2 linked regions of the Lytechinus pictus genome follow. The protein of the gene in region 1 purifies or fractionates together with the protein of each later gene. This does not show direct contact. Links are inferred from orthologs where the notes say so. Each region holds a gene or a part of one and is shown on either strand. Other genes may lie near its edges.

Region 1 (12,667 bases):
TCTGTAGATTTACCATCATAACTTTAAAAGTTTATGGATCTGATTCATGAAACTTGGACATAATAGTAATCAAGTATTACTGAACATCCTGTGCAAGATCAAGGTCAAAGGTCATTTAGGGTCAATGAACTTTGGTCAAATTGGGGTATTTGTTGAATTACCGCCATAACTTTGAAAGTGTGTTGGTCTAGTTCATAAAACTTGGACATAAGAGTAATCAAGTATCACTGAACATCCTTTGCGCATTTTAGGTCACATGACCAAGGTCAAAGGTCAATGAACTTTGGCTTAATGGGGGTATCTGTTGAATTACCATCATAACTTGGAAAGTTGATGGATCTTTCTCTTGAAACTTGGACATAATAGTAATCAAGTATTACTGAACATCCTGTGCAAGTTTCAGGTCACATGATCAAGGTCAAAGGTCATTTAGGGTCAATGAACTTTGGTCAAATTGGGGTATTTGTTGAATTACCGCCATAACTTTGAAAGTGTGTTGGTCTAGTTCATGAAACTTGGACATAAGGTTAATCAAGTATCACTGAACATCCTGCATGAGTTTCACGTCACATGACCAAGGTCAATGGTCATTTAGGGTCAATGAACTTTGGCCGAATTGGGGGTATCTGTAGATTTACCATCATAACTTTAAAAGTTTATGGATCTGATTCATGAAACTTGGACATAATAGTAATCAAGTATTACTGAACATCCTGTGCAAGTTTCAGGTCACATGATCAAGGTCAAAGGTCATTTAGGGTCAATGAACTTTGGTCAAATTGGGGTATTTGTTGAATTACCGCCATAACTTAAAAAATATATGGACCTAGTTCATGAAACTTGGACATAAGGTTAATCAAGTATTACTGAACATCTTGCTTGAGTTTCACGTCACATGACCAAGGTTAAAGGTCAATGAACTTTGGCCGAATTGGGGGTATCTGTAGATTTACCATCATAACTTTAAAAGTTTATGGATCTGATTCATGAAACTTGGACATAATAGTAATCAAGTATTACTGAACATCCTGTGCAAGTTTCAGGTCACATGATCAAGGTCAAAGGTCATTTAGGGTCAATGAACTTTGGTCAAATTGGGGTATTTGTTGAATTACCGCCATAACTTTGAAAGTGTGTTGGTCTAGTTCATAAAACTTGGACATAAGAGTAATCAAGTATCACTGAACATCCTTTGCGCATTTTAGGTCACATGACCAAGGTCAAAGGTCAATGAACTTTGGCTTAATGGGGGTATCTGTTGAATTACCATCATAACTTGGAAAGTTGATGGATCTTTCTCTTGAAACTTGGACATAAGAGTAATCAAGTATCACTGAACATCCTGTACGAGTTTCAGGTCACATGATCAAGGTCAAAGGTCATGTAAGGTCAATGAACTTTGGCCACGTTGGGGGTATTTGTTGAATTACCATCATATCTCTATAAGTGTATGGGTCTAGTTCATAAAACGTAGAAATAAGAGTAACCAAGTATCACTGAACATCTTGTGCGAGTTATAGTAGTTTTCAAAATCAGCACTGCTGCTATATTGAATCGCGTGATGCAGGTGAGACGGCCAGAGGCATTCATCTTGTTAATTTCTAGACGTTGGTTTGCCTCTATCCATTGAAATTCAGAAGATCTCGTACATGTACACTGCCGATATCCAGGTGATTTTCCTACACATACCATTTAAATGCTAATGGTAAATGTTTACAAAGGACACCTGCTGGCCAAGAATTGAGAATAGCCCCTTGAAAATTGAAGAGGAAAATCTCTTCCATAAGAGATTTAAAGCAGGGTTAGCTACTTGAGTTGAACAATAGAGGGGGGTAGAGAGGATGAGAGTGTCATAAGTGGAAAGGGAATTTAATGACAAATGTTGTTAGATGGATGTGAGTGTAAGACATGCTATTTCTCTAAAAAGAGCAACCTTTTGTCGTGTGTCTTAAATATAGATTAATACTGACTGACAGTTTTTTTTAATTTACTTGGTCCGAATGGTCATCCTAGTATCTGATGAAACTATAGAACTTAAATTTTAAATGATAAGCTGATTCAGTTTCATTTAGATTATAAATGTTCCCTGCCACTATCCAGATCTGTACTTATTTAAACTAGATTTATTGTTCATAGATCAGAATTAGGAATAACAAATGATAACTTTTTTATGGTGAATATTGTTAAAAATCAAATTTAGTTAGGAATTAATTTTGGTTGGAAACTCAATACCCAATGATTTTGCTAAAGAAATATGACCACCTCCCTTGAAAATTGCCTACATTGTACATGTATAAAAGTGAATTTTCAAATATCCTCATTGTTGTAATGCTTGAATTGATGTTTATGGAAAAAGAGCTGTACATTTCATGCAACTAAATATAATCTTGTTATCTATTCATTAGAACAATGTGGCCTAATTAGATTCCGCACTTGATCAATCCATACCCATCCAGATATTCAAATTGGCCACTTCATGTCTGTAGTAACCAGCCTCGCCGGCTAGCCTCGGTGCTGCCAGTTAACATAGAAATCAATACAGCCATTGGTAGCTGGACCTTTGTGTAGTCCCAGGCTAATTGTCCTGGTGTTGGTAATGAGTTCCGGTTGAGGGCGGATGTCTATTGTGACATGCAGTCGATAAATATTGTGAGCGAAGGCGGAGGTGGTGATGGACAGATGGTTTTCTTGGGAATCGGGTCAGAGGAAAGAAAATAAATAATGAAGGAACAAAAGTGACAGAGATAAAGTTTGAGGGGGGGGGGATGGAATGATAATTATAAGATCTAAGGGTCTTTAGCAAAGAATTGATAATTTGAAGACAGTTTGAAATTTCCATAATACCAAGTTATTTTTGGAAATATTCAAAATAAAGACCAATTTTCTGATAAAATAAAGGGGTATGAAGGGGATTTCAAAGGAAGTGATATAATTTAGATTTTATTATTTCAGTAAACGAATGCTATTAAAATCATAGCCAGTGTAAATTCCTTCAGCAAGAAATTTATCCACATTTTGCTGCACTCTACCCAAGTGACGTATGGGTATCCAGGAAGGATTACTGGAAACTTGCTGGCTCAAGAGTAATAATTTTCAAGTTCCTTTGGAAGTTCATACATGTAGAGATGTATGTGATATGCGTTATACATGGGCTGCGTTTATGCGACCTCAAGCCAGAATCATGATTTGAATCATGGTTTGAATCATGATTCAAAACACAAACATGAATCACAATATCACAGAATCAGCGTTTAGACGACCTTCATTCCAATGCTGTTTCTCCTCAGATTCGGGCCAATCCAGTGCGCATCACTAGTGCGCAGTTTGACAGAGGAAGTTTTTCGCACGTGTTTCGGCTCTCGAAAATTCTTTTGCTTCCATCAGAATTCAGTCTATACCTCATTTTGTTTACTTCTATCATAAAGGGTCCATATGCTTCTATTCATCTTGTTAGTTTATCCAAAATGGTGTTTGGAAGTGAATTTCAGCGTAGATCCAATTTGATATTGATACTGTATACTCAACAACAACTGAGATCATTGTCTGTCCAGTTAATCCATTTACTAGAACTTGAAGTTGAAGACATGACCAAAAAATCAAAAGTAGTGGACGATGCGATGACCAACCCAGAACTTGAACATGACAAGAAATGAATTCATAGTACATAGTCATGTACATACAATGAGCATATAGAGCGCCTTGAGCTTGGCAAGAGTCAAACCGAAAGTAGCCCGACGCAACAGTGAGGTCATATAATCATGATTGTAATCACGATATCGTTTATTCGAACATTTTCGTACGTGATTCTGCAGAAACGTCTTTCCAAACGCCCCTTTTTTCGTGTTTCATGTTTGTGATTCTAATCATGATTATATTCAATTTCGACTAAACGCAATCGTGATTCTGCAGAATCATGATTTGAATCATGATTCAAATCATGATTCTAGGGTAAAAAAGTGGCGGATAAACGCACCCATGGACTGAATATCATAATTATTAAAGAAGATCAGTTTGGGAATCTTATGGGGAACATTCCTGTGGTTTTGTCTGTCTATCCATCGTCCCTTGGTGTTTATATTTGATGTTTAGTTTCAGAACAGTAGTTCCTGAAACTCTTTTGAAAGGAACATCAAACGTGAGGGTAGCGCCTTTTCTGACTTGTTCTGCTTTCTCTTCAAACTCTGCTCCATTGTTTTCTACATGGACTAGATGTGTGATAGGTCTGGTTCTATTTACTTTCATTTACCATATTCAAGGCCATAGTTAAGAAGATCTGATCTACTTGTACTTTGAATTATTTTTTGATATGACTACCATGGTACTGTAGTCGTAAAGTATTGAACTTGTAATGTACATTTACCTGTCATGCACATAAAATATTTTTTTTTACTTGAATGATAAGACACTTGGCCTGCCAAGTTACTTCTAAGAGGCTTAACATCAATTTATTCTGTTGGCATTTCGAGAATCCCTTGATTGACCATAATTTCCAGTCATTTTCTGGAGATGTATTTTGAATAAAAAAGGTTTAACGATTAACAGTAATGTTGATTGATCATATAGTTGATTTGAATGATTGATTGCACATAATCATTATGTAATTCATCATATAATCAGCCTTGCAATCGAATGCTTAAGTTTGTGTCCTCAGGGTATAGAAAAAGGATAGAAGATGCAATAGAGAACATCACCCTCACCCTCTGTCTTTATTCTTCACTCGATCATCAACACCCTTGGTCATCACTTCCACTTTCACTAAGATCGTTTAAAGAGCAGGCCATAGTAGAGCGGCACTCCCTCCCATTAGAATCCGATACAGTGCTATTGCAATGGTCTTGACAGAGGAGAAGACATGGTGAGGTTCACAGATGACAGAAATGTTGCAATGTGCTCCTTTCGTTCTGTTGTATCTCTTTCAGTGATGGGGATTTAAGAGGTGGTGCTGAATAAATGTTTTGCGTTGAGGTATTTATCCCAAAGAAACAAGACGTCATTGTTGTTGTTGGTGTGTAGTCGTTGGCGTAGGGTGATGACTTTTAAATGACCCAAAAATCTATTTTCATTCATTCCTTTCGTCAATGTCACAAAAGGTTTGTTTCTCAGTGATTTCATAAGTCATGGGAAAGGGTGTGAGAAAAAATGCTAGAAATGAAGGCGGAACATCAATATAGACGAAGTGAATGTAATTATAATGTGTAGAGGTTCAAATTCTCTCCACTGACTTCAAATATATGTATTATTGGTATTCAGTCCTTTCTTGTGAATTTGAGGAATATTTCCAGAATAGGTCGAAATTGTGAAAGACGAGTTCACATTTGTGAAATTAAGAATCATTCTTGGGATGTATTATGGTATGTTAGCACATACAAGAAGAGATATTCACGGGGGACATATGAAACTTGTAATATAATCTTAGTAACAAGGTTTGATCGAAATTACTTCAGTAAGAACAATAACCCCAATAAATTTAAAATTATTCAAACACTGGATAATCATGTCTTTCATTGCGATTAGATGATGTGTTATTTTTGTAATGAAGAATATGATGCATTCAATTATTTCCTTCAAAGATTTAGCAAGTAAATACACCAATTCGTACAATCCCATGTTACCAACTGATTATCTGTCAGTCATTAATCCATCCTCCCCTTCACCTTCCTAAATCCCCTTTGCCCCCTCTTCAAATCCTGTCGGACAAGTCTTCATTTTATTAGAGAAAATTGACAAACAATTATCTTGTCATCCTCCTCCAGTCACCCACAAACAAGATTATAGTATTGATCCAAGCTGAGAAAAACTTATCCAAACCATTTAGTTAGGCAGACCCTCCTGTCCCTCAAACCCATCAATCATCATCCCCGCCCAGTGTGGGTCTATTTATTGGAAGGGGGGGGGGGGGGCAGCGTAGCTATGGTTGCCTCCTTTAATTGGGTCTATATATGTAGTACGATGGAAAGTAAATTCCCAAATTATACTAGTCAGAAGTGTGAAGTTGACAAATGTGCATTCTAAGGTTGTTAAAATTGCCATTGCTGAAGAGATTTTCCATGAAAATATTTGCCATTTAATAGTCTAATAAAAAGAAAGTTGGAAAATTAATACAAATTCTATCTTTATGATACAAGATAAAAGAAACTTGGCAATTAGTACAAATTCTAGCTGTATGATACATTTCCCCAATCAAACTTATTTTGTCCTTTCCATAGCAATATTTTTGTATTAACCCCTTTTCATTTTGTCTTTATATGTACCAAACTAATAATTGTTTTTCTCCCCCAATGCTATTTGGTCTGTATCTACAGAATTAGTTTATGACACCTTCGGGACAATTTTCATCAAAATGACATTTCATCACCAAAAAATCCTGATAACCTTTAACCTTTGTTAGGGAACCCATACACCCCTAATGATTGGTAGTAGTTTCTAATATCCCCCACCAAGCTTTACATCCCTGCTTGCATTGAGGGTTACTAATGATATTCAGAGGTTGATATCTACTAATGACCGTGTTAAGAGATTTCAATAGTTGCCTAATGGATGTGATTGAGGAAGGAAATTTCAATCCAGTCAAAACTTCATGCAGTTGCCATGAGATGGGGTCATTGATTTGTTATATTAGATAAATATGGTATATAACACTATCTATCCCAAAGTGATATGATGAAATAAAATACATCAAAGCAATGAATGAAAATTGCATTTAAAGATATGCTTCCATCTTTACGAGTTGTATTAGCCAGAGCAGTAAACGGGAAACATTAAAAATGAACAGTGAATAAAGCAGAAGAACATTAAACATGAAGAGTTTTTATGACCGGTTATGGCGACAGTGTTGACTAAGGCTGTTTGGGTTTGCATATTGATTATCATATTCATATGTTGCTAGATACGGATTGAAATCTGTTAGTTTCAAGGTCAATGAACTCTCCAGGTCATTGACATTGATTATGTGACGGGGTCATAGAGCTGTCACAAATGATGCCATTCATCTTTTTCAAAGAGTTATTTCCATTTTCCATTTTTTACGAATGAAGGGTTCTATTAATATCATCTCTCATAATCACTGGAGGTAAACGTAAAATGAATACAGATTTTTTTAACAACCTCCCATAAAATATTGTGAGGTTTATTGACCCTCTGAAAATCATATTGATTAGCATAAAACTAACTTCAATGAAGTGAATTGTGACTCTGGTGTTATTGTAAACACTTGTGGGATTTTGATACAGACATTCAGGGCCAATTACAATGCAAGAAATCTTTTGGAAAATAAAAAAAAGGCAAAACAAATCCATCCACCCCCTTTGAAAGAAGTTATCGTGAAAGGAGACATTTTGATTGGAGCTGAAATGGCAATTTAATGACCATTCACTCAAAAGACAATTTCATGGCGTGCTTTGATGGAGAAGAGTGAGCGTTTTACTCAGAGATAATCATCGGGACAATGGAGTCTATAGACGACCACCTTTCTCTCTCTCGGTCTCTCTCTCAGTACCATGGGTCACGCAGAGAAGTGCAATGCATGTAATTGCTTTTGTGTTTTAGTGGTACGAATGAAAGAAAGAAAGGAGAACCCAGGCTGCTTCAGAATGGTCATCTCTTATTGATAGTGAAAACAGAGTTATAGAGAGACTGTTTGTAGGGATTCAGTTCAGTCTGTTAGAAGCTCTGCTCCTGATGTCACTGCGTCCCACGCATGTCTGTTGGGGTTCAGTCAAAGACAATATTGTTGAATCGGACTATAAGCGTCCATCATTGTTTTTGCGTTGTGAGGCTTTGCTCGGTCAAATATTCTATTCTCTGGAATCATCCTCGGTACTTTTGTTGAAGTTGTGTATGTCTTTTTAGCATTGGACATGCTTTCTTCTTGAACTTTTATAATTGTATGTGTGAGTCACCATAGGAAGGGACCCTTCCAGCATCCTCTCCACTTTGCCACTCAACACAATGAAAGCAGTTATCCTCTAGGACAATAACATTGCACCCTTGAGAAGATAAATGGATATAGAGTGGGGAATGATCTGAAGAGCAGCGTTAAAATCTTCAAACTCCATTGAGGAGACTGAATCGGCTCTAAACCTATTCTCCTTGCATGATTAGACTGGAGACATTTAACAGGAGGGCGCAACGTAAAAAAAAACCTTGTGAACCCAGTTAGTGGGATTCCTGCAGGGGTCCGGCCATTCAGTCATCAGCGACCCTTGTCAAAGAACCTGGAGTAGGGAATACTCTTCTTCAATCCCATTATTCACAGATACATTAGTATTTATCCACCTCGATGTCTATTTATCTTCAGCTATATGGGGGACCTCTTAAATGCATTGCATGTGGAAAGTCCCATTTTGCAAATGATGATGAGGGTGATTCCTTGTCTGGTAATACTAGCTCCAGGATATGTTCCTTATAAACATTCTCAGTGGGGTTAAATCAAAGCCGTTGCTCCAAGCGATCATCAGAGATGTGTCGCTCTGGTGTTGGATGTTAGCAAAGCAGACATGAAACTTGTCTTTCATTGTTGCCAATTTGGTTGGGCAGCCGGTGTAACATTCCACGCGACAGAATGTCAACAGTTGTGATTTTAGATATGATCCCTTCAATGGTCTCGACAGTACAGGATCCGATAGCATCGATGAAGGCATCAATGGTGCATCAACGAGTTGTGAGATGCATTCAGTATCATCTTCAAAATTTTCCTCATGGACCCCATAATGCAGTGTTCCCGTGTTATGGTTATAAGGATATTTGCAAGTTTTTATGAATATTTGAGGATCCGTGCATAGCTTTATTCATAATCACCATTCGCGGTGTGTTTGTGCACAGAATACATACGTGTATGATTTGTATCTGTTGTGGAAACAGTATACATGTATCTATCATTTCTCATCATGTTTTATGTACAGCGATTTGACATTTGCAATTGGCAAAGTTGCCATTTCTTGTCAGTTACGATTGGAAGTGGATTAAACACAATCAGGAATTACCATAAACCTTTTCATTGGATTTCCGCTCCTTGATGAACATCGATTAGCATGAGATTGTTCGAATAAAAGACATTGTGCGGTTATCTTTATCAGAGTAAAACAATTTTCTTATATATCTTGTATGGGGAATTCCGCGATCAAATCCCCACGCTGTTTTTGCCTGCCCCCGATCCTCTTTGCCCGTTCCACCCGCTGCCACCCCCGTAGTGATAACCTCACTTCGGCTCGTTCGGGCGTCCAGATGCACCTCGTAGCGGAGGCCTATACTTTCTATTCTTGCCATCATTATACAGGTATAGCCATGATTCATGTGTTTCTCTCAATATTCTTTACTAATTATTAAATGCAAGCATTATGTATTCAGTCTGTGTAATTCAGGTCCAAATGCACACTTTCAAGAACATTGAAAAACAAATCCTAGTAGTTACACCTTCAGCTATTTTCTAACTCATTTTTGTCACTAATTTGTAAAAATTGCAAAGTTGTTGAACGAAATAAAATTGAATTTATTTTGCAAAACATTTAGATAATTTATAAATCATTATTCTTCATGTATACATATGATAATAAGCCAGGACATAAAAAAAAAAACAAGGAACAATTTACTTGTAGATGAGACCCTGATAAGTTGTACCATTATGGGTAACTTTCAGGCCTGGTATTACTTTCTGTGGAATAATCTTTGGACTCCAGTTTGGAGGACATCTAAATTATGGGTGACGTTGAGCCTGATGACCATGATATTCGCCATTGGTGGCAAGTTTGATATTAGATTATATGTAATTGGGAAAGATATTTGGGGCAGTCCATTGGTTCAGGAAAGTCTTGATTGCTGCTTTCTAAAATAGGATATATTAAAGTGAAGTGCTTGAAATTGCCAAATGTCAGAAAAAAAGCAATTAAAAAAAAAAGTCAATATTCTTTGGTTCTAAAGCTATTAAGAAACCTATATGATTTGAGAAAAGGAATATGAATGACTGCAAATGAATAAAAATGCTAAGCTGGCTTTTTTTAGGTACTATTCTTGATAAAGTTATTAAGTATAAAGTGGTCTATAATTAGTTTCAGGGATCTACGATTTCGCATTTAAAATCTGTAATGTTCAAGCTTCTCTCCTACCGAAGACATTGTGAGGGATAAAAGCATTCATGATCTCAGAAAATAGCCGGGGGATTTGAAATCCATTGGGCGCAAATCCCTGATGGAAATAAGATAGATTGCATCTAATGGAGAGAAGATCTACAAATATCAAGCACTAATGTAACCCTTCCACAAAACTTGTATTGTTGTGTCGGAAGAAAGGGTTTATATCTTTGGAAAGCTTTCCATTTTTATTTAATCCCTTATTGGGGTTCTACGATGATGGGATGACCCATTGATAGATGTTTGTGAATGTTTTTTTTTAAGTAGTCCCCATCCAATGTATTCAATTATGCTATTATGTTAGGTTGAGTGAAGTAATTCTGAGTTACTACTCTTAGAGGCAAGATAGAAATAGAAATGTTAAGCCGTTAAATGCAACTTGGAGGCACTTCCCAAGTTCCCACAGAGAATATGTGCATTTCATGTAAGAAATTGTGATTTTATGTAATATTAATGAAAAATATGATATTATATTCAAGTTGCAGAATGTTAAGGTTTATTATTGAATTCATATTTGGGTTTTAAAAATACATATACTTCAACAGATGTTGTTTATTTTTTACATATTTTGTATTTATGTGTATGCTGAATATATGTTTAGAAGATGCATACTTGTATTGTATGCATATTTGGGACAGGAGCTCTAATGTTCAGTGTATTGTTCTCTTTCTCTGCATGAAATTTGTTAACAATTAATTTTGCTCTCACTTTTCATTTACGTTCATACTTCATACTTCCACCTTTGCACAAAGACTGCTTTCGTATATCCATTGGGTGGTCTTTTATGTACAGGTTTTACTGTAATTCAACTTTCATTGATAATACATGGTTTCTTTGTTCATTATTGGGCCATGGAGAAACCAACCCCTTATCCATGGTAAATGTAGAGCATATGCTACAAATGGCTACAAAGACAATTATTTAATATTCCAGTTATTTCATTTGTTGTGTTTTTTGTTTGTTTCATAAGAAGAGTATAAATTAAATCTGATTAGTTAAGTAACAGTTGTATTTGTATCTTTTTTGTTTGTTTCTTTGCAGTTTCAAGGAGCAAGAGAGATCATCACCATCGAAGCGGGCATGGATACGAGAGTTCGTCAACGTTGATGAGCAGCGACATCGACTCAACGAGCTGCTTTGACTCAACGGACGATGACAGCAGGTTTGTTAAAACTCTTTTGAAGAATTCTGAATTATTTGACTTTCTTCAGCAGATCATCTGCAGATCTATAAATCGAAACTCATAGACCTATGTAAGAGAGAAGTCTACGTTGTCAATTCAGTAGGCATATCAATTAGTATTGAAAATAAACAAACAAAAAAGTTTAATAATAGTCAAAGTGGGTGACATGCGACTCTACGACCTGCTTTGACTCAACAAATCTTTTTAAAACAATTCTGAACTCTTTGACTTCCTGTAGCAGATCATTTTCATATTGTACCTGAGCCAGAACTCCTTACCTACACTGTACTTTATGGAGAAGTCTACCTTTTTTTTCCAATTCAATTTATGAAAGATAGACTAGAATCAAATATGCCAAACTGTGAATTAATCATTAAAATTGAGTGACATCGAGTAGACGAGTTACGGTACGCATGATCGGAACTTGTTCTTACGTGCTAAGTCAGCTACTGAGGTATATATCATCTAGCACTGGGTCACCGATCGTGCACAAATTCATGCATAAATTATGACCAGCTTTATGAACTGGCCCCCAACACCCATCATGTTTAAAATACTCCTTTGAAAAGATTGATGAAGCCTTCACGCAAATTATGAATCATGGAAGTGGCACGATCAAATTACAATATTACGTTCCTATCACTCTATCCCATATCAAATTCAGTCGATGTATGTATTTTGTTATAGTTTACATAGGCCTCCTTTTTAAAATCGCCCCATTCTGTCAATAATCTGGCAGTATACCGTACACAGTGCTGTGAGAGTTCAGATTTTTATCTGATTTCAGATTTTTTTTGTTTTGATTTTCAGCTTAATTTCAGCTTATTTTTGGCCTTCCTCCGTACAAAAAGTATGGGAGCTCTTTCTATTTCAGACTTTTTCAACACTCTTCAGCTCTTTTCAGATCTTTTTATTTGTGACCACTCACACCCCTGACCATACATCCAGACGCTTCAGCAACAGTTTTGCTACGGAGAACAACACGTTATCCTAAATTGAAGTGCCCTCGACAAGACTCAATTTCACCCCTCTTTTAATAATCAAGTTTCTCCCCTTTTCCCCAAAGCAAACTCATCACCTGTGTCATTATTGACATTTATGGAGAAAGAAATTATTCATAATCTGTGTGCAATATAAACTGATAGGTGCATGCCAAGAATCCAAATATTGACAGACCCATATGAAGGTTTTTATGAGGTTTTCATACTGTTGGACAAAGTCCTTGCGTGGAACTTATAGTCTGTTCAGACTAGAGGAAATGGTATTTGAAACTGTTATTGTACATGTAGTGTAAAAGGGGCACAAAATGCATTTTTTATTTAAAAAAATTCTTTATTACACTAGATGTTCCAATTCAATT
Region 2 (12,405 bases), on another chromosome or scaffold:
GTGGTTCTACTTTTTCATAACTTTCTGCATTTCATGAAACCATAGGGTTTGTCTTATTTTCCAGATTTTTTTTGAACAACATGGTTTGTGATTTTTTTTTACAACTTGAAAAAAGTAAGGAGTTTCAATACTGTATATTATATAAAAAAATTAGTGATCAACAAGGGAAGTCCAAATAGATGATTGATATGTAATTTTTTTTTACATCTTATAATAATTCCACATTAGCATGCAAGAGGAAGTCATCTTCCAGGCTAGAATGAATCAATTATAAAGGTTTTCTTTTCATGCTCAATGACAAAGAAATTAACCTGCACTGACCAGTGAAAATCACCAGTTTAGCTGAAGGGATTCACAAAAGAATACGCCTACATGAAATAAATTAAAATGGTTAGAATCACCTATTTCATATACTATGGAGATAAAAAAGTACTTTTTCTGTTCACTTTATGTCAAATCAATTACTTGAATTAAAATAGGCCTACTATTTATAGTTTCTGAATCCAAATCCTGCAATTAAATGCATTATATATTGTGTGTCGTACGGGACAAATTTTAATAAGACAATTATTGAAAAATGAAGGGCAGTAATTAGATCCTTATGGGATAAATCGATCACCCATGGGTCAAAGAAAGAGCAACTGATATTGTGAAATTGCATCATAAAAAATAAAATTGTAGGAAAAACTTTTGCATTTTCATGTGTCGTACGGGACATTGCCAAAAATAGGTTAGGAAAAATCAGGGCTGCCCCTATTATGGATCATGAAAATGTTGTAGATATTATTTGGAACCATCAATGATACATTATTCCATTGACCTGCAATATTTTCAATCTTCTCGCGCTGTGCCAATAATTGTTTCAGGCAGTGTTTGTACTTGACTATTTAATCAGCAAAATTATTGAAAATTGAAAATTCCATTGTTCCCCCCCCAAAAAAAACTATATCTGACTTCACTTTTGGTTAAAACTCATAATTTTCAAAAAATTTAGGTATCATAGTAAAATATTACACTACTTGTGACTTATTGAAAGCGTGTTGAAATTTATGACATTTTTGAAGTTCTAGTGTGGAATCGCCCTAATGATAATGGTTTTCATAGTGATGATGATAATGAAATCTTATCAGTACTGGTGGTGATGATGAGGATGATGATGTGATGATGATGAAGATGATGATAATGAGATGGTGATGGTGATGATGCTAGTGTTGATGATGGTGATGATGATGGTGGTGGTGATAATGATTGTGAAACCACTCTTGTCACAATGAAATAAATGTAATAGAAAAGAATGGCAATGATTATCAATGCCTAATACCAATTATAATTTTTCTCCTTAAATAAGTCTTTATGCTACTTGTGTATATACCGGGTGGTATAGAACCTTACAGTTAATACAGTGTATGAACGAACAGTACATGTACCGTACTACTGTACATTAATATTACCCAACAGTAATCAGTTCTCTTCAATTGATACTGAATATTCACCACAAATGCACCTGTTGGCCACAGTGTACATGTATGATGTATCTAGCATTATTTAGCAATATTAAAAAAAACATGCATGTAGCCTACATGTACATCCTTCATAATTATTCATCGACCTACATGTACATTAATCATTTCATTCACCTTTTTATTATTATTTCATCAAGTACATGTACATGTAAAGCATACACAACCACCTACAAGTAGACGTAACCTTCTCCTACTCCTAGGACTTCCCTATTATTTCAGTAGGCCAACCTACATGTACACTGTATGTTGCATGACCTCACATTTTATTTCTGTAATCTGGATGAGTCACAGGGCATAATTCATCATCATGGATGGAGGGATTGAACCATTACTCAATCTATTGTCCAGTACTGCAATGAGTGTGTGATATCCGCAGCATAATTCCTCACCCCTGTCAATGGCAGATGGTGGGGAGTCAGCCGCAGTTGGTGATGAAGATGAAGGCGTTAAACTGTGGAAGAAGCACTGATTCTGATATTAGGGAAGGAGGGGTGGGAAGTGTTGAATAAATTCTGTGGTCTCTGCGTGACTACATGTAGGAATGTAGTCTGATGTGCAAACCCTTCACGCGAGTTTAAGGGTCTGAATATGCATCCTACTCATGCCTTGTGTGCTGAAGGCCCTCTAAACAGCAAGTTTTGTACGTGCTAGTCTTTGCTGGAGAAACACTTGCTGATCAAAGTTTCAATCAGGGTCTGTGTCTGCAGACTAGTAGGAATGTGGGTTGTTGATCGGGAAATCTGAACAACTATTTTAGAGTGGGGGGGGGGGGTCTCCCCCTTCTCTGTTATTTCACAGATTCTACATGTACCTTTAAAAATGGGTGAAAATAATGTACTGAGATTTTACTACACTGTATGATACATACATATATGTACATGTAGGCCTACATACTGTACAGACAGTGTACATATTAAAGCCAATTAAATTTCTTTACCATTAATTATGCCAGAAAAACTGTCACTCTATCTGTGAATAGTCATGGGTAGTATGCAAGCACAGACTCATATTTGACACTTCAACCAATAATGGGTCTAGAGTGAAGACTAGATTCCAATGACTCTGTGTGTGTCACCCACAGTGCATAGTGAATCTAGTCTCACCAATTCAGACTCTGCATTATGCAGTATGCGAATTGTGAAAACCAAGGGTTAAAGTGTCGAAAATGGGTCTGTGCCCGCAGACTAGTCATGGGGATGGAAAGGGGGGGGGGGGGGATGGAGGGGGCAGGCACGAAAAAAAATATTCAAGCATGGTGTGAGCACTCCAAGAGATTGTAGCCCTTCAAGGCATGCCTCATTGCAAAGCCTCATCATTCATATGACATCAAATTTACAAATGTCAGGAGTGGGATTGATTCTATTGATTTAGGATTTCAATTTCATGCTCCCTCTCCCTGCCCTCTCATATTGCCTTGGTCGATTCCCCTTCCAGCCATGGATAATTACATGATCGAACAGAAGTGTCAGCATAGTCTGCAAGCACAGACCTATTTTCGACACATTAACCAATAACAGGTCTAGAGTAAAGACTAGACGCCAAAGGTTCAGAGCCAGCCACGGTATAGTGAATCTAGTCTCACTACTTCAGACTCCGAATTATGCAAAAAAGAAGGGTCTGCGCCTGCAGACTAGCCTCATTTTATCTTCCAATATTGCTCAGTGTGTTCAATGAATTCACGTTTGACTGTCCCTAGTTTGCCTCAATAGTCCACCTCCTCAGACCTACAATACTGTACATCTTGAAATGGGGTCTACCAATGATCTTCACTATCACAGAGAAATTGGAGATGCTATTCCAGTCTTGTGCATTTTATCATATTAATTATTTCATCTAAAACATCTCTGGGCTTCCAAATGATGTTGAATATATTAATCTCTGGTTTTTTGCCTGGCAAGCTATTTTACAGCACACAAGCATTTCAAGGGATAGGCCCAACACATGTACACGTTTCCTGCCAGGTACCCAATTCCATCACCTGGGTGAGGGCTGGGGTCCTTTTGTGGCAAATGTGGTAAATGTAGATTATTGCCAAAGGATGATATAGAAACGTATCCATTCGATCATCTCTTGTATTCCAGATGCTCTACACTGTACATTTGGAGAAAAGGAGAGGAGGGAAGTTTTAGGGAAGGAGAGAAAAAGAGAGTCAGGGAAGGGGACAAAAATGAGATTGGTGTGGTAAACTAAGGAGAAAACAGACCTTCGATAACCCTTAGGACTACATGTAGCTACCAAAGAGAATGGGGCGCGAGTCATTGATGCTTGACAAGCATGTATTGGGAAATTGTATTGAGGCAAATATAGGAAGGAGAAAGGGGGCAAATAAAGGAAAGGGAGAAGGGACGATTGAGGAAAAGGGGAGAAGGGAAAATAGAGGAAAGGAGAGAGGAAAAGAGATAAAGAGCAAGAAGAGAGATCAGTGTGGAAAACTACAAAGACTGCAATCCTGTGATCACCCTTAGGACTCGCTACCAAAAAAGAATGCAATGCAAGTCATTGATACCTGACAAGCACGTAGTGGGAAATTGTATCGGGGCAAATATCTCGGGAACCAGATAGGTGAAGTCAAGACCTTTCATTGATCAGGATCTCTGATGTCCAGATCAATGGCTTGGCTCCATGGCAGGGCTCCGTTGCTGGGTATTCAGTTGTACCCATCTACCAAGAAGCTTGCAGGACTTGCATTTTACATTATAACTCAAGTTCTTCCATTAATATAATAATAATTTATTTATTTATAAAGCGCTTTTTGCCTGAGGATACAAAGCGCTGCTATTATTACCCTGGCTTAATCTCGAGCATGGACCTACTAGTAGATCCATGGCTCAAGCTACCATCACCGGCGCTCAGTACCCATTCACCTCACTGGGTCGAGTGCAGCACATTGTGGAACAAATTGTGTTGCTCCTTTTTTACACTGAATCATATGAAATATTATACTGGTAGTATGAAAAATAGTTAATTTTTGTGGATTATATTGATAAGCAATTTTATGGTTTGATTAAAAGTATGTGCATCTACGTGCAGGTTTTTAAGGGGGGGGGGGGCTTTGGGTAACTGCCCAATGTCACAATGAAAACTACAGATTGTGAAAGAAAAACAAAGTGCCAACTACACTTTAGATTTTTATTTTTTTGTGAATTTAATTTTGACACTGCTCAGTTCATCGAGGCTTTGATGGAGAATTCTCCCCGTGATTGATACGAATACTTTCCATGCGTAAAAAAGTTGTTTTTCATTAATTCAGTTGGGGGAGAATGCACTTTATAGCTGGATTGATGGGTAGAGTCCCACGGGATATACTGCATCATCAGTATTCGAGCATAGATTGTTCACATGATTACACATTCACTCATTCACCCATACATTGTGGGCTGTGCAATTGCACTAGTCTACAAAGCGCAGACTCAAATTTGACACTTGAAGAAATTATACTGCCATGTACATGTAGGGTGAAAACTAGACTTCATTTTCTCTGCCTGTGTCAAATAAGAATAGCCACACATGAGTGAATCTAGTCTCCTTTCAGACTCTGCACTACATGTATGTAAAAATTATGAGGTTATGCCTTCATACATTGTGGGTTGTACAATTGCACTAGTCTACAAAGCGCAGAGGAGACGCGGTAGCTCAGTCGGTAGAGCGGGGCATTCGTTTTCCAGTACCCCGGGTTCGATTCTCACTTGGTGCGCTAGTGCCCTTTGGTAAGGCATCAATCCTCAGTAACAGGTCCTTCGGAGAGGACATTAAGCCACCGGTCCTCTGGTTGCTTGCTTACAAGCATTCATGCTTTCTTTAATAGCAATCAGGTAAAAAATCGCCACCAATATATATAAATCACCAATATACATGTAGGCCTACAGTGTATATTGCACAGAGAAGATCCCTTTCACATTGCAGTACATTAAATATTTGCTTTCTTGCTGCCAAAAATACCTGATATTTTATGATAGGTGTGCTGTAGATCAGAGAGTAAATTTCCAGATCCAGGGGGGGGGGGCTTCATGGAGTCGAAAACAGCCATTTTATTAATTTTAATTCAAATCACCTGTATGCAGCTGGTACAAAAATGTTTAAACGACTGTTGTCGACTCGCCGTACGGTCGCCGTAGAGCAAACAGCTTTATGAAACACCCACCAGAGGTCTGATATTCTCGAACAAGTTGGTCTGAATACGCCTCCATATTATTGGAAGCTTAAATGTCTGGTGCAGGGGCTCATGGGATTGGTGCAGCTTATAAACAGGTCACATGACCAGCTGTTTGGGTCAAGTACTGTGTAGGGGTTGATTCAACATTCGAAACTCTGACATAACATCAGCCACATGGATGTCAATTCAGATTATCATGATTTTTGCTTTCGACTTTACTTTCTATGCACACTGCATACTCCAGTGTCTGTTTTGCTGGTTTTCTTTTGCAATTCCTGGGAATTTTATATAAAAAAAGGTATAAATACTGTTACATGGATGTTGTGGCAGTGATACAACATTTGTCCTAGCGACACCTGCTCCGTTCTTTATTTCATAATAGGGTGAGGGTTGCAATAGGGTCTTATATTAATAGGGTTAGGGTTAGGCTAGGGTTGTGTTAAGTATTAAATCCAGTGTTGAAAATGGTCATTTGAATAGTTTGTGGAATTGATGATAGCGGAGCAATTGTTGCCGGAGCAAATGTCATAGAATTGTAGTGATAATCGCTAATTTTTGTCATAAAGTTCTCATTATCCAACAGTTACCATAGCTAGCAACAGTTACGGTTGGCACAACTTGCCTGGTGACAAACATTGATGAAATGCTCCCCCGTTCTTTTGTATTCCAAATCAGCAAATAAAAGACTGTCCACCTTTTTTTTTCTTGTCTTTCCCTCCAGATGCAGAGATAATCATTCAAACTGACGGTCACTGCCGTATTCATCAAGACTGACACGGGATCGGGAACACCGCCCTCTGGAGCCAAAACATTGAAAATGGATACCGACGGTGCTCCTGAAAATGCTGATGATAATGGGGGGTTCCCAGTTACTCCGCAGCCTCAGGTACTAGAATAGGTTTTTAACAAATTGCTTATAATTGCAGTCACAGTTTCAAATTCAGTTTGCTAATTTCAATTATGGTAAAGTAAAGGTTCATGGACTTACCCTTACACTCCATCATGGAATTATATTTTTTTGGTCAAATTGAGAAGAAGAATCCTAAACAAGTTCAAAATGAATGATTCAAGGATGAGTACATGTGAAATGTGAAATTCCAGCAACTCTTAGGGATTTTTTTTCCCCTATACAGTTATGATTTACGAAATGGCAAAACGGTTATGTTTTTTAATAGCAGTCATTTGAACGGTAGTACATGTATGCTTTGATTCAGCCCTAGTAGGCCTACAGGTATGTGTAAAGATTTTGAAAAAAAGCTAATTTGCTAAAATTATTTCACGATTAAAAGGCCAACATGAATCCTTGATAATTGTGTGGATTTCCCCTACAGAACCAAAGTACAAGGAGCAGTAAGAGCTCGAAGAACAAATACCGTGACCGGGACACGGACGAAGACAGCGAGCGTGGCCACAGGGGGCGACGTGGTCGGCGACATCGAAACCGAGAGGATTCAGAGAATGATGGAGAAAATAGGAGACACAGCAAAAGACATTCTCATGTAGAACGATCAGTAACCATAGCAACGCACGGAGCTACAACCGACGAGGACAGAGATGAGGTTTGTACAATAATGAGATGTACATGTAATAAAGGATTTTTTGTAAAAAATATTTTACTTCGATATAGTGGAATACTGTCAAAATAAACATGGTAAAAATAGGGTTGATTTTGACTTGCACAAACTACAATGGCTGTATGAGTTGAAAAATGTTTAGACATACAGTACATGTACGTGTACATGTAGGTAAGCCCATTTAATTGAGTTAGAGCATTAATTTAGGCACAAAATCACATGTACAGAACTTATTGAAAGCCTTCATGTACACTGTACTGTCCATGCAAATATGCATGTCTAGACACTGTAACATTGAAAAGTAGAAGTCTTCCATATGTTGTGCAGGGCTCCCAGAGCAGATTACATACATGAATAAAATGTATGTAGTGAAAATCAATGACATCAAACATTGCACTTCATGCAAGGCAGGGTTCTTGAAAAGGTTGCTCAGTGAATGACATGGTAAATTGCCAATTCGTCCACTCAGCACATGGTCTACCTTCATTTGGTCCAATAACCATTTGGTCCAATCATCACTTCGTCTAATCCCCGGTTCGTCTAATCCCCGGTTCGTCTATTACCATCTTGTCTAATAACCAGTTGGTCTAATACCCATTTTCTTTTCATTCATTTTGCATAATTAACACTTTAGTTTAATAGACCACATGTATGGTATATGGACTAGATGGCTATTGGACCAACTGGTTATTAGACGTAATGGCATTAGACTGAATGAGGGTAGACCATGTGGTGAGTGGACAAACTGATGGTAGACCAAATGATAGTAGACAAGTTGGCAATTGGACGAATTGGCATTAGACAAATTGGAAATAACCATGATTGTCACTTTACAGATTATAAGAAGCTACTGCAAATACTTGCATCTGATTGGCTGAGAGTAAAGAAGTCAGCAAAAATCAAGTACAAAACCTTCCATGAAACACTCCCCCGGAACCCCCTTTTCGCAAATAGCTACAACTATAATTGTAAATGCCAGTCTGCCATTATGTCAATTACCATGGTAACAGTGCTCAGCAGCCAATCCAAATCAATTTTTTTTATAGAAGTTACAATAGAAGTGAGTTTTTATTAAACAAGGCATATGGTTTATTTTACCAGGTGAAAACCATATCTCATATTTGACCTTGTTTGACCTCTGAATGCCTATCTTGGGATTATCCCAGACTCCCCTAACTCCAGTTATCCAGTCTCCTCTTCTTCCAAAGGAGCAGGTGTAATAGTCTGTGAAATCTTATCCTTAGAGGCAATACAAGGAATGCTGGTCTAGAAGAGTTTTATTTCCTCTGGATGTAATTGGCGATTGATTTATGGATACATAGCCATGTGTGGTGCAAAATGATTTCCATCATTTTTGTCCAAATAGCTATTCATCCATTTTTTCTCACAGATGCATTTTCCCCAGAAAAGCAGGGATACTGATTTTTCATGTTATTAGGTGATCTGTCAATCGACAGATCAACTATTAATTTTGTACAAATTTTCTTTTTTATTATTTGTTATTCATTTTTATTTTTTCGCCCTTTTCTCGTTCGCACAAAATCTCAAAATCTACATCAACAATTTTCTTCAAAATATCATCAGTTATGGGGACTTATCATGTCATGTGTATAAAACAAGTTCAAGGTCAAAAGGTCCTCATTTTAAAAATCACATCAATCATACCTTCGTTATCAATTATAAAAAATCAACCATATTTACATCACATCTTCAGGTGACGGGTCAACTGTCCATGTCATCAGAGGTCATGTAAAGGTCACGACGTGCGCGTATGCGTGCGTCAAAATTGTAAAATGCTGAAAATCACTTTTTGACCAAAATATCATATGAATCAGGTCATTTTAAGCATTTCAAAAATTTGCTCGCGCACACGGTTACGCGGGCGTAAGAGCACTTTTTTATTCCCACCACCCTTCTCTGTTTGTTATTGTCCAATTTTCATGTGGTATCTTTACCACTAGCCTATCCCTGAACACATCATATAACATTGTCATCCACAAACCTGACACATCATTATCAACAAATTCATCATGGCATGTTTTCTATGCACGCACACATTCCATACCTAGAAGACGGACCCAGTATCATAAAGCTTAGCGATCGACAGTGGGGCTGATCTTTACGATTGATGGTATACAATAATCAGTGCAATCAATCGTAGAAAACAGCCTCATGATCAATTGCTAAGCTTTTTGGGCCTTTCCTTTCCTTGCCTCACATCCCTCACATAAAGCTTTAGTGATCGATAGTAGGGCTGATTTTTACAATCGATCGTATACAATAATCAATGCAATCAATTGTAGAAAACAGCCTCATGATCAATTACTATTAGAGCTTTGTGTTATTGGGCCCTGCCTTTCCTTGCCTATATGCCCTATTCATGAAGACAAAAAAGAAGAAGGGATGGATTGAACTTGGTTGATAGAGGTAGAATTTGTTTCCAATAGAATCAGAGTATCTCTGTATCTACATGTAGGCCTAATCCCTGATCATCAATACCTGAACATTTTAGACGCAAGCTCTGCTTTTTAGTTGGTCTCCTTCCCTCTCGAATTCATGGTATTATTATATTATAAAAGTTGATTTAAATGTTATATTTTGTAAATATGTATATTTTATAGAACTATCATTGTAGATATAAAAAGATTGAAAGATGAATAAATGAAGAGAATTTAATAGAGTTAATTTGATCAAAGAGATACCTTGATTATTTCCCTTTTTGCATTCTTACATGTACATATAACTTTCAGGAAACTAAAGCATTCTAAACTGTCCGGAAAGGATTTGAATTTTGACCATTCTGAGCTCTTGTTTTGTATTAAAAATAATCATACTTTTCTCAATAATTCCACACTCTTGGATCTATAGAAAATCATGGTACTACATACATACACATACACTGTAGACCTATATATCTCTCCTATAATATTCCTCTGGGATAAAAAGGCCTTTTTGCTAGTCTAAATGGTTTTGTTCAATTGCTGCATCTTCCCTTCGCCCACAAACATCATCAATCATATATTAGTAGGGGATTGTGCTGTCAGCTTGTATGTTTTTTCAGTGCGAATGAACTGTGTTTTGTTATGACTAGCAAACCGGCCTAACCAACTCATCACTCTACTCAACCAAATAGACAAGCAAGATTGCTCAAGCTCCGGTTGATATCAAACCTCCTTATCTGGGCCTGAGGTTCTATTTGAGGTGCACAGAGGCTGTTTGCCTGAAAATTTGTTGCTCAGAAATGTCAACATTTTAATCTGTTTAGTACTGTCTACATGTGCGCCTATCTGCACAGGTGTTTGTACATGATCTTCATTTCTACATTCAGAGAATCAAAGTGAATGTGGGCCTATAAATTTTAATACACCATGATAAACATGTATTTAAAAAAAGGAAATTAGCATTAAAATTTGTGTTGTGCACTATGGTCTATGTGTATAGGCCTACAACAAAATATGTGAAATACCAGGTGATAGGAGGGGAGTAACAATTGCCATGTAGTTCAACAAAAATTATGTTTAATGCACAGCCTTTGTGCATACCTCGTCCTTTCTTTGTACAGTATTTGAATTTTGCTCTTGCAATGGATCTAATACCGAATACTGTCATACAGTGCACACAAGCCCTTAGATCACAACTGATTTTGATAGGTTGTCACAAGGCATTGTTAGCACGACCTGGTTCCCAGTGGTTCCCAGCGCAGCCTACATGAGGTTCAGCCACCCACAAGGGGCTATCATGGCCCAGGGGTCATGAAAATGTTAGATGGAGCTATTTGAGGTTTTTATTTATGCGAGCAGGATACATGAGAAGGAGATTGGGAAGTTTGAAATACACCCAAGCTGTGTTCAAGCAACCATAAGAGAACGCTGATACAAATTGTACATGTAGGGCTACATTGTAGTTATTGCAGGGATTGTTTTATATTATATTCAATCAGATACACGTATGCCTATTTATCATCAGTGCTGATTTCTTAAACAGATACATGTATGCCCATTTATCAACAATGCTGATTTTTCCTCATTTTAATGTAGCATGGTTGAAAAAAATCCCTGCTTCCCTGTACAGTATGTTTCAGACATACATGTACCTTGTACATATGTACAAACGTTACCGATGCATGCATAGCATTAGTTAGACTTTTTTAAGGAACCAAATTCGGTGAGGGCCCTGTCACATCGTTCTGTACAAGCCTCGAGTGTGACTTGCAGGTATAAACTATTTTTGCTCCCCCGCAGGACACCGCAGTTCGCCCGCATTGACATTAACTTTCACACGCATCTCACAAGCAGTTGCCTGCAGAAGCGCACGCAATCCTGATTTATGCACACAGAAAAGTTTTGAACATGCTCGAGACTTTGTTGCGGGTGAGTTGTGGGCAATCACCCGCAATTCACGTGCAAGGCTTGCATGTACATGCAACGATTTTACAGGGCCCGTGATCGCACGCAGACATTTTTTGCGGGGGGGGGGGGAGCAGCATGCATAAACTTATTTAAAAAAATTGAAAGCGAGGGAGCAAAGCGATTGAGCTTGCCATTTGGGCGCTTTTGCATTTTATGAAGTGAAATGTAAGGATATCATGCATACACTTAGTGAAGTTGGTGAAAATTTGTTCTCAAACTTTCTGTGGGGCAACTGCCACCCCCATCCCCCACTGCACTGTGTATTAAAGGCCATATGAAGGCCTTTAATAATAATAATAACGTCATGTTTTACCCAGGGTAGCCATTTCAGTTTCGAAAACTGTTCTCCCTGCTTTACATGTATAATGTTATTACCCCAGCTTTAGCACGGCTACCTTGATCGGGCACTCGAGCATTCACCTCACCTGGCCGCGGAAGGCAGCCACCTTTATTATAGGGAGGTGTGCTTCTCTTTGTTTACAAAGGACATTTTGCAAATTTCCTGTAGACAAAATTATGACATACATGTAGATGGATTTCCATTGAGTTACGATTGATTGCATCAATCATAAGTCTTTGTAAGACAGGGCCCAGGTGGGTGTTTCATAAAGCTTTTTGTAATACCCCTTTCATAAACCCAATAAAACCTATCCTCCAATTAGCCGCCTAAGAGTAATGCGGATAATTCAATAAAAATTGCGTTCACAAACTCCGAAAATTATCCGCATTATTTTTACGAGCGCCCG

Evidence for each region.
Region 2: the proteins of segment polarity protein dishevelled homolog DVL-3-like (region 1) and vang-like protein 2-B purify together in Drosophila melanogaster (affinity purification with western blotting; 3 studies listed by BioGRID). This does not show direct contact. The link is inferred for Lytechinus pictus from reciprocal best matches to the Drosophila melanogaster genes dsh and Vang.

The regions. Positions count from the first base shown.
Region 1 is NC_087258.1:11,336,103-11,348,769, forward strand, and holds the start of segment polarity protein dishevelled homolog DVL-3-like, read left to right. Parts: upstream 1-7,536; 5' UTR 7,537-9,102; coding exon 9,103-9,274; intron 9,275-11,165; coding exon 11,166-11,286; intron 11,287-12,667.
Region 2 is NC_087252.1:12,406,490-12,418,894, reverse strand, and holds the start of vang-like protein 2-B, read left to right. Parts: upstream 1-6,395; 5' UTR 6,396-6,493; coding exon 6,494-6,562; intron 6,563-7,007; coding exon 7,008-7,235; intron 7,236-12,405.